2 linked regions of the Canis lupus familiaris genome follow. The protein of the gene in region 1 binds, or shares a complex with, the protein of each later gene. Links are inferred from orthologs where the notes say so. Each region holds a gene or a part of one and is shown in the gene's direction. Other genes may lie near its edges. The genes, in order: EIF3G and EIF3F.

Region 1 (4,543 bases):
AGGAAAACTCTTCCCAGACCGGGAAGTCCAGCCTGGATTCTTCACCACCTGCCACCATACAATTTCTTCAGAAAATTATAATTTCCCCCTCACAGTGCCTGGCCTACAATAAGCTCTCGAGAAGTGAGCTTTAGTGTTATTAGTACCTTTAAATTTTTTTTTCTAAAAACTGGATCATTTATGTGTCTGTTCCTTTTCTTTCTTTTTCTTTTTTCTTTTTAACTGGGGTTCCATTCATTTAGTCCTATTGTTCATGGACTGCTACTTTGTATATAAAACATGTAGAGATCATTTAAGGTTTTGGGCTCCAGAGAGGAATTACTTCTGCTCTCTGGCATAAAATTAGAATAGGAGAAGGTCATCTTTTTTTTTTTTTTTAAGATTTTATTTATTCATGAGAGACACAGAGACACAGGCAGAGGGAGAAGCAGGCTCCATGCAGGGAGCCTGATGCGGGACTCATCCCGGGGCCCCAGGATCACGCCCTGGGCCGAAGGCAGGCGCCAAACCGCTGAGCCACCCAGGGATCCCGAGAAGGTCCTCTTAATTCTTGAATCTGGACTAGCTAGTCCCCTTCCCAAATCTTATTTTTGATATTTGTATTATTTTTCACTTTGCCCATTTTCATAACATTTACATTCTGTTCTGTGCTCATGACCTCCTAATTGTTTAGCGTTCATTCTAGTTATAAATGGATTCATTGTTCAGCACTATTCACTATACTCACATTTTTCTATTTCTGGTTTATGTATTATTATTCATCTATGAGTTAATTAGACTTCATCATTAAGCACTGTCCTTATTCTTTTAATAGGGTCCTTCCATACATTCTCTCATATTTGAAAATGTGCACAAGTCACCTTTATATTCAACTGATATCTTGGTCTTGATACTTCTGAGTCATAGTCCGCTCGCAGTTTTGTGCACGTTGCTCCATTGCCAACTGGCATGGAATGCTGGTGTGGCAAAATCTTAGCTCAAACTGATTTTTCTCCTTTGTTGGTGATTTTTTTAAAATTTTTTATTTATTTATGATAGTCACACACACACACACACACACACACACACACACACACACACACACACACAGGCAGAGGGAGAAGCAGGCTCCATGCACCAGGAGCCCGACGTGGGACTCGATCCCGGGTCTCCGGGATCACGCCCCGGGCCAAAGGCAGGCGCCAAACCGCTGCGCCACCCAGGGATCCCTGTTGGTGATTTTTTTTTTTTTTTTTTTTTTTTTTTTTTTTATGATAGTCACAGAGAGAGAGAGAGAGAGGCCGAGACACAGGCCGAGGGAGAAGCAGGCTCCATGCACCGACCGGGAACCCGATGTGGGGTTCGATCCCGGGTCTCCGGGATCACGCCCCGGGTCAAAGGCAGGCGCCAAACCGCTGCGCCACCCAGGGATCCCTGTTGGTGATTTTTTAAAAATAAATTTATTTTTTATCGGTGTTCAACTTGCCAACATATAAAAGGTGAAATGAATGGAATGAACGAAGGGAGGTGCCACGGCCGGCGCCTCCGCCTCCGGCCGCAGGGGGCGCTGTGGGCGCTGCTGCCGGGCTGCTCTGGGCCGCGGCGCAGGAAGTCTCGTCCTCCCCCCACTTCCGGTCTCTGGCCCGGGACTTGTGCTGCGTGGAGGAGGTTTTGAAATGCCGACCGGAGATTTTGAGTGAGTCGAGGGTCGCGGAGCGAAGCCTGGGAGGCGGCTTGGGGGCCGTGGGGGCGCTCCTCGGGGCCTGGCCTCGCTGACCCAGCCTTCCCCTCCGCCACCTTGCCCTTGCAGTTCGAAGCCCAGCTGGGCCGACCAGGTGGAGGAGGAGGGCGAGGACGGTGAGTACGCCGGGTCGCCCCGGGTCACGGGCGCCTGCGCCGAGCCGGGCACCGCCGTCCGGTGCCGCATCTCCCCCCGCGCCTCCCGCCTCCCGCCAGCCTGTCGCCACTTCCAAGTGTCCGGCTGGCCGGTCCCCCCGCTCCCTTGCCACCGCCCAAGCCTCACAGCTGCTCCGGGGAGGAAGCTGTAACAGCCAGCCTCCTGCTTGGGTGCGAGCGCCGGATGTCTTTATGGGCTGCCCCTCGCTTTCATCCTTGCCATTGCGCGAGATTACTCAGCCAGCGCCACGGCCTGGCACGGCTAGCCCAGGGCACTTGGTCCCCAGGCCTAAGCCCTTGGCCCTGCCGTCTAGGCCCCTGGTGTGGGCGTCATCCCAGAAGTCCCTTCATTTTAGCTTGGGAGCCCTCGCCCCTCCAGCTCACCCCTCCTACCCACACTCCCCTTCCTAGACAAATGTGTCACCAGCGAGCTCCTCAAGGGGATCCCTCTGGCCACTGGCGACACCAGCCCAGAACCTGAGTTAGTGCCGGGAGGTGAGTGACGCCCTCAGCTCCACTCGGGGCTCCCTCTCCCCAGCAGCATTCCCCTCCCCCTCCATCACCCAAGGCTCAGTTACTTCCCCTCTTCTCTCTCCCAGCTCCACTGCCGCCTCCCAAGGAGGTCATCAATGGGAACATCAAGACAGTGACAGAGTACAAGATAGATGAGGATGGCAAGAAGTTCAAGGTGAGGCTGGGGGAGGAGTTGGGGGCCCCTTGGCCCGGAGGGGATGGTGTGTGTGTTGGGTAGGTTGGGTTGATTAGCTCCAGAGCCTTGAAACACAGGAATTCGGAGCCTCTCCCCTCCCCTCCACAGATCGTCCGCACCTTCAGAATTGAGACGCGGAAGGCCTCCAAGGCTGTTGCAAGGAGGAAGGTGAGACGCTTCTCCTCTTGTCTTAGAGGCTCTCCCAGGGCTGGCTTGGAGGAATTAGGAATCCTTTTTGTTGACAGCGTTTTGATCTGATACCTTTATTTTTAGAAGTGGGGTTCAACTCTGTCTCTATTCTGTTGGATCAAGGGGGTTTAAGGTTGAGGGGTGTTTGTGCTCTGTTGGGACCCTGAAAAGTCCAGGGTGCAGAAGTTGGGTGGTTTAGATTAACTCCGCTCAGCTTGTTTACTTGTTTACCAGAAGGAACAGAGCCAAGCCCTCCCCTCAGGCGGTCATAGCAGCTCCTGTTTAACTGGGCTACATGCTTAGGAAGAAGTGATAGCTGTAAATAGCATTGGCACAATTTTCGGTGGACTTCCTCTGTGCCAGACCTCAATGGCAAGTGTTTTGCAGGAAGTGTTTTCTCATTTGCTACCCCTAGCCGTCCTGGGAGGTGGGGAACATTTGAGGTCTCCATTTTAAAGGGGAGGAAGCTGGGATCCCTGGGTGGCTCAGCGATTTATCGCCTGCCTTCCACCCAGGGTGTGATCCTGGAGTCCTGGGATCGAGTTCCACGTCGGGCTCCCTGCACGGAGCCTGCTTCTCCCTCTGCCTGTGTCTCTGCGTCTCTCTCTCTCTGTCTCACTCTCTCATGAATAAATAGATAAAAATCTTAAAAAGGTGGGGAAGAAAGCTGAAGCCTAGGTTTTTTTTTTTTTTAAAGATTTTATTTATTCATGAAAGACACAGAGAGAGACTGAGGCAGAGATATAGGCAGAGGGAGAAGCAGGCTCCGTGCAGGAAGCCCAATGTGGGACTCCATCCCAGGTCTCCAGGATCACGCCCTGGGCTGAAGGCGGTGCTAAACCGCTGAGCCACCCGGGCTGCCCAAGCCTAGGTTTTTTTTTTTTTTTTTTTTTTTTAAGCCTAGGTTTTTTAACTATCTCAAGGCCCCTCACAGTCTGGGTGACCCCTGGGCGTCACTTCCTTATGGGAGCTGGCCCACCTCCTGTCATGGGTGCCTCAGGAATGGTTAACTGTGTGACTGTTTCCCCCTGGGCCTTGGTTCTCTCCTCTGGAACTTGGGCTGAGAGCCGTCCCCACCTCCTGGAGCTGGCCTGAAGCTAGCGGCTAGCACATGCCAGGAGTGGTACACGCTAGGAAATGGGAACTGTCGTTGTCACCACTTTTGGGAGACTTGGGGGAGGGAGAAGAATGTGGTTCAAGGCTGAAACACCCTGAAGGGAGGGCTTTTGTAGGTCGAGTGGTGGTGGGGGTCCCACTTGCCCTTACAAGTCCCCCATCCCGCCCCGAGCCCAGAACTGGAAGAAGTTTGGGAACTCGGAGTTTGACCCACCAGGGCCCAACGTGGCCACCACCACAGTCAGTGACGACGTGTCCATGACATTCATCACTAGCAAAGAGGTGAGTTGGGCAAGGGTCTGGGCCGGTGGCTGTGATGGTGGTGGCCAGGGTGTGGCAACCCTGCTCTGACTGCCACCCCCCCCCAGGATCTGAACTGCCAGGAAGAGGAGGACCCGATGAACAAGCTCAAGGGCCAGAAAATCGTGTCCTGCCGCATCTGCAAGGGCGACCACTGGACTACCCGCTGCCCCTACAAGGACACGCTGGGGCCCATGCAGAAGGAGCTGGCTGAGCAGCTGGGCCTGTCCACCGGCGAGAAGGAGAAGCTGCCCGGAGGTGCCTGGGCCTGGGATTTGGCTTGGCGGACCACGGGGTGGGGCGGGTTGCGTGCACCTCTGGGAGTGTCCTCGGTCTCCACCCGCTGCTGTGAAC
Region 2 (4,478 bases), on another chromosome or scaffold:
CATAAGGGTCAGGGCTAGGAAGTCCAACCTCACCCAGTTTGGACTTGCCAATTGGATGCCAGGACTTGATCTAATTAAAAGGAGTTGATTGGTTTCCTGGCAGGTAGATATGACCACTCCCACTGTACCAAGAAGGAAACTGAGACTCCGAAAAAATTATAGATTGCCCAAAGTTACACACAATGTTAGAATCAGAGCTCTTTTCCATTGCATAGCGGTGGTAATAGCTTCCGCTTAATAATAGTAACGGCTGTAGGGGCACCTGTGTGGCTCAGGGGTTGAGCATCTGCCTTCGGCTCAGGTGGTGATCCCAGGGTCCTGGGACTGAGTCCCACATAGGACTCCCTGCAGGGAGCCTCCTTCTCCCTCTGCCTATGTCTCTGCCTCTCTGTGTCTCTCATGAATCAATATATAAAATATTTAATAATAATAATAACTTCTATGTATCAGGCACATGCTAAGAGCTTTACAGAGGGTTACTCCTTGAAACCCTCTCCCAAAGCACAGACTAGCATCTCCACCTGACCACTCAACAATTCTGCTGGGATGTCTAATGAGGGTGACACCTCCAAAATTGAACTTAGGACCTTTTCAAAAAAAAAAAAAAAAAAAAACACCTGCTCCACGGGCACCTGGGTGGCTCAGCGGTTGAGCATCTGCCTTCGACTCAGGTCACGATCTCAGCCCTCGCACGGGGCTCCTTGCTCAGCAGGGAGTCTGCTTCTCCCTCTGCCCCTCACCCCACTCATGCTCACTCTCAAATAAATTAAATATTTTTTTAAAAAAACAGCCCCCTCCCTTGCCTCCTTCAATCCACTCAGATCTCACGCTCTCATTGTTACCCACCCTACCTTCTGATTCTCCCTTATTCCCCGCTCGTTTTTCCTTTTTCATAGCATCCATCACCCTGTAACATACTATATACCCTTTTGTCTCTCTCCGCTAGATATTGGGCATTTTTGAGGACAACGATCCTTGTTCTGTCCTCTGATCTACATTCCGAGGGCCTAACACAGCGCCTGGCACCTATTCACACTGGTGACTGAAGAAGCCGCCGCACCCACACCTTCTGACGCGGTGAAGAAGTGCCTTTAAAACGCACTTTATCGTCCACTACCCCTTTGAAGTCTGGAAACTCTGGGTCCACCTGGCGGCCGCTGAGCAGTCGGAGCGGTTTCTTCTCTCATCGCCGTCTCAAGTTTGTCCGGAACTATTCAGCTCCGTCCTCACTTGAGTGCTCATCGGTCTGAAATCAAAGAGCACAAACTCAGAGCCGGAAACTGTGCCGTGAGAAGCATTACCGGTAGCCAATCGGCATAAAGATCTCGTTCACGTGGTGCATCTTCAGCCTATCGTGTTCTACTACTTTTCAACTCCCTCCCTTCCGCTCCCGGCTCCTTCTCTCTCGACAAGATGGCCACACCGGCAGCCCCGGCGAGTGCTCCTGCCGCCACCCCAGCCCCAGCCTCCGCCCCGGCCGCGGCCCCAACCTCGGTCTCAGCCCCGGCCGCAACCCCAGCTTCAGCGCCAGCGCCGGCTCCGGCTCCAGCGCCGGTCCCAGCTCCAACGCCGGCTCCAGCCTCTGCCTCAGACCCGGGGACTGCGGCGGCCACGACTGCGGCTCCGGGCCAGACCCCGGCGTCTACGCCAGCCCCAGCGCAGACTCCGGCGCAGTCACTGCCGGGTCCTGCTCTCCCAGGCCCCTTCCCCGGGGGCCGCGTGGTCCGGCTGCACCCGGTCATTTTGGCTTCCATCGTGGACAGCTACGAGCGACGCAACGAGGGCGCTGCCCGAGTTATCGGGACCCTGCTGGGTGAGTGGTCAAACCGCATTGACCCTCTCGCCTCCCGTTTATCCCATTGACCTCTTGACCTATTTCTGCATCCCGTCTTTCTGCCGCGACTTCCCTCCTTGAAGGAACTCGCACTTTCCTGCCAGGTTGCTGTCACTTTGGTCGACACAGAATACGTAAGCCGTAGTGCGTTACTGAATAAGTATCGTGTGCCGAATGATCGATCCCGGGTCCCCAGGATCACGCCCTGGGCTGAAGGCGGTGCCAAACCGCTGGGCCACCCGGGCTGCCCCTGGTTTTATGTTTTATTTTTAATCTCCCCGCTAGCATTTGAGGTCAAGTGTGATTAGTCCCAGACTGCCAAAAATGAGTTCAGATGCCGACGAGGAAGTCAGAAACGTTTGACTAAACGTTCGACTAAACGCTGCCCCCCACCCCCCCCGCCGCCTTCCACCCCCTTCCACGGTCTAAATGTCCTTATTTTCCAGGTGTTTACGAGGACGTTTTAAACCAGTTGGTAAAGAAGTAGGGACTTCTGTAAAAAGACATCCCTTTCAACAAGTTTGGCAGAAACCTATTTAGGTTTTTAATGATATTCTGCTTTTCTAAACATTTAATCCTGATCTTATGTTTTTTAATCTCCCTGATATGTTAATTTGTAAAGCTGAGAAGCTAAATAGGGATTACTGATAATAATGCCCTTTTCTCTTGGGAACTGCTGATCCCATCAAAGTCCTTTTCCTTCCATCCTTGTCACCAATTTTAGATCCCTTTGTAAATGGACTCTAGCCTCGTTTGTCATTTCTCTTATTCTTGAATATGTATGTAATAGTCTTTCTAGCATAGAAGACAACTGAATTGCAAAGGGGACAAGATTTGACGGTAGATTGCACCAAATATTAACCATGTGCCTTGGGATTCCTGGGTGGCTCAGTGGCTGGGTGCCTGCCTTTGGCCCAGGGCATGATCCTGGAGTCCCAGGATCAAGTCCCACATCGGGCTCCCTGTATGGAGCCTGCTTCTCTCTCTGCCTGTGTCTCTGCCTCTCTCTTTCTCTCTGTGTGTGTCTTTCATGAATAGATAAATAAAATCTTAAAAAAAAAAAAAAAAAAAAAAAAAAAAAAAACATGTGCCTTGAGACAAATTACCTGAAGTCTAGTTCTTTCGGGGCACTTAGACTTAGTCTTTGCAGAAACTAAACTATCACCAAAAGCATCTCACTGCTGGCAGACCATTAGGTACAAAACCGCGGTTGACTGCAGTCTTCCACCACATCAGGGCTACCCCCACACCCCCAATCCCTGCCTTGCAACACACACACATTTGCCCTCTCTTTGAAGATTTAGCATTTCACAGAACCTTCAGTTGATCCATTATCTTCCAAACATCAAGGTTTTTCTCAAACCAAGCCTTTGTATTCTGTTTGACATAAATGTCTTCCCTGCTCTCTCTCATTTAAGTTTCACTCATTTCCTGGGTTCCCAGGAAAAGTGTTAAGTGTCAGTTCTTTGTCTCACATTACCACCCTCACCTCCATTCTTAACCTCCAAAGTATAGTAGCATTCTGTAAATGTGTCCTGCTTTGAGCTTCTGAAATAAATGATTTTTGCAACAAAGGTTGGCACTTGACGAATACTAATCTATTTACTCTTTGAGCTGCACTGCCAAATTTTCCAAATCCACTGGAGCTATTTAAAGAAACCCAGGGAGAATGCTCAGAGCCCCCAGATACTCTAGTGACTCTAGTTAGACCAACTAGTCTAGCTCTTCAGATCCTCTTCCAGACTGGGATAATGGTATAATGCTCAGTGTTATAGAGACAGTACTTCACTGAAGAATTAAACACAGACTGCTCACGAGGAGCTTCTGAATATTCTCAGATGTTAATTCATGAAACATTTAATTTGGTTAAATGAAATGACTGGTACTGTTTAAATACCATAAAACTGTTACATATTTTGAATTCAAAGTTTGATAAAATAACTTCTGTTCTAACCTTAAATTCAAGATGAAGATATATGCAAATAATTAGAATACAATGTGATAAATGCTTTAACTGAAGGATATTGTGGCATGGAAATGCAGAAGACTTAAAACTGCTTCAGAAGTGTGAAATGGTCAAGTTTATTGAATTCCTGTTTAGAGGTCAAATAAGCATATTTATCCGCTGGGTTTGAAGACATAGTTTTAGCAAAGGGAGCAGAAACCATAGTGAAGTGGAATTAAACAGACACATGGGTGGCAGCATTGTGGTCTGTGGAGGAGGGGGAAGTGCTTGAAGCCTGGTATGGGTGGTGCCAGTAGATTAGAAAAACATGGAGAACTCAAGGGACTAGCAGTCTTAGGTCAAGAAACAAACTAAGTGGGAGTAAAGGTATCAGAACTAGAACAGAAATTTGTGGTAAAAGACTGATACTGATGTTTACAGTTCACAGGTAGAAGGTTTCTGGATGATGATGGGGTTAAGGACATGACCATTGGACTAGATGACTGAAGGGAGGTAAAGGTGAAGCTCCCTAAGATTGTACTCTGAGGCTAGGCTTCTGTTTGGGTGGCCTATGTAGACATTGTCAGAATTTTCCAAGTATTCTGCAGAATGAATTATAAGAGAAAGTCTAGTGGCTGAAAAATGATGTTCACAGAGTGAAGATCCAGAGCAGGGCTGGTAGCAGGAAAGACCAGGTAG

The links.
Region 2: EIF3G (region 1) and EIF3F share a complex: the UniProt entries of both Homo sapiens proteins name them as parts of the eukaryotic translation initiation factor 3 (eIF-3) complex. The link is inferred for Canis lupus familiaris from reciprocal best matches to the Homo sapiens genes EIF3G and EIF3F.

What each region holds. Positions count from the first base shown.
Region 1 is NC_049241.1:51,337,480-51,342,022, forward strand, and holds the start of EIF3G (eukaryotic translation initiation factor 3 subunit G), read left to right. Parts: upstream 1-1,560; 5' UTR 1,561-1,655; coding exon 1,656-1,675; intron 1,676-1,789; coding exon 1,790-1,836; intron 1,837-2,286; coding exon 2,287-2,370; intron 2,371-2,474; coding exon 2,475-2,563; intron 2,564-2,692; coding exon 2,693-2,752; intron 2,753-4,066; coding exon 4,067-4,171; intron 4,172-4,257; coding exon 4,258-4,447; intron 4,448-4,543. UniProt on the Homo sapiens protein: RNA-binding component of the eukaryotic translation initiation factor 3 (eIF-3) complex, which is required for several steps in the initiation of protein synthesis.
Region 2 is NC_049242.1:32,120,629-32,125,106, forward strand, and holds the start of EIF3F (eukaryotic translation initiation factor 3 subunit F), read left to right. Parts: upstream 1-1,389; 5' UTR 1,390-1,413; coding exon 1,414-1,813; intron 1,814-4,478. UniProt on the Homo sapiens protein: Component of the eukaryotic translation initiation factor 3 (eIF-3) complex, which is required for several steps in the initiation of protein synthesis.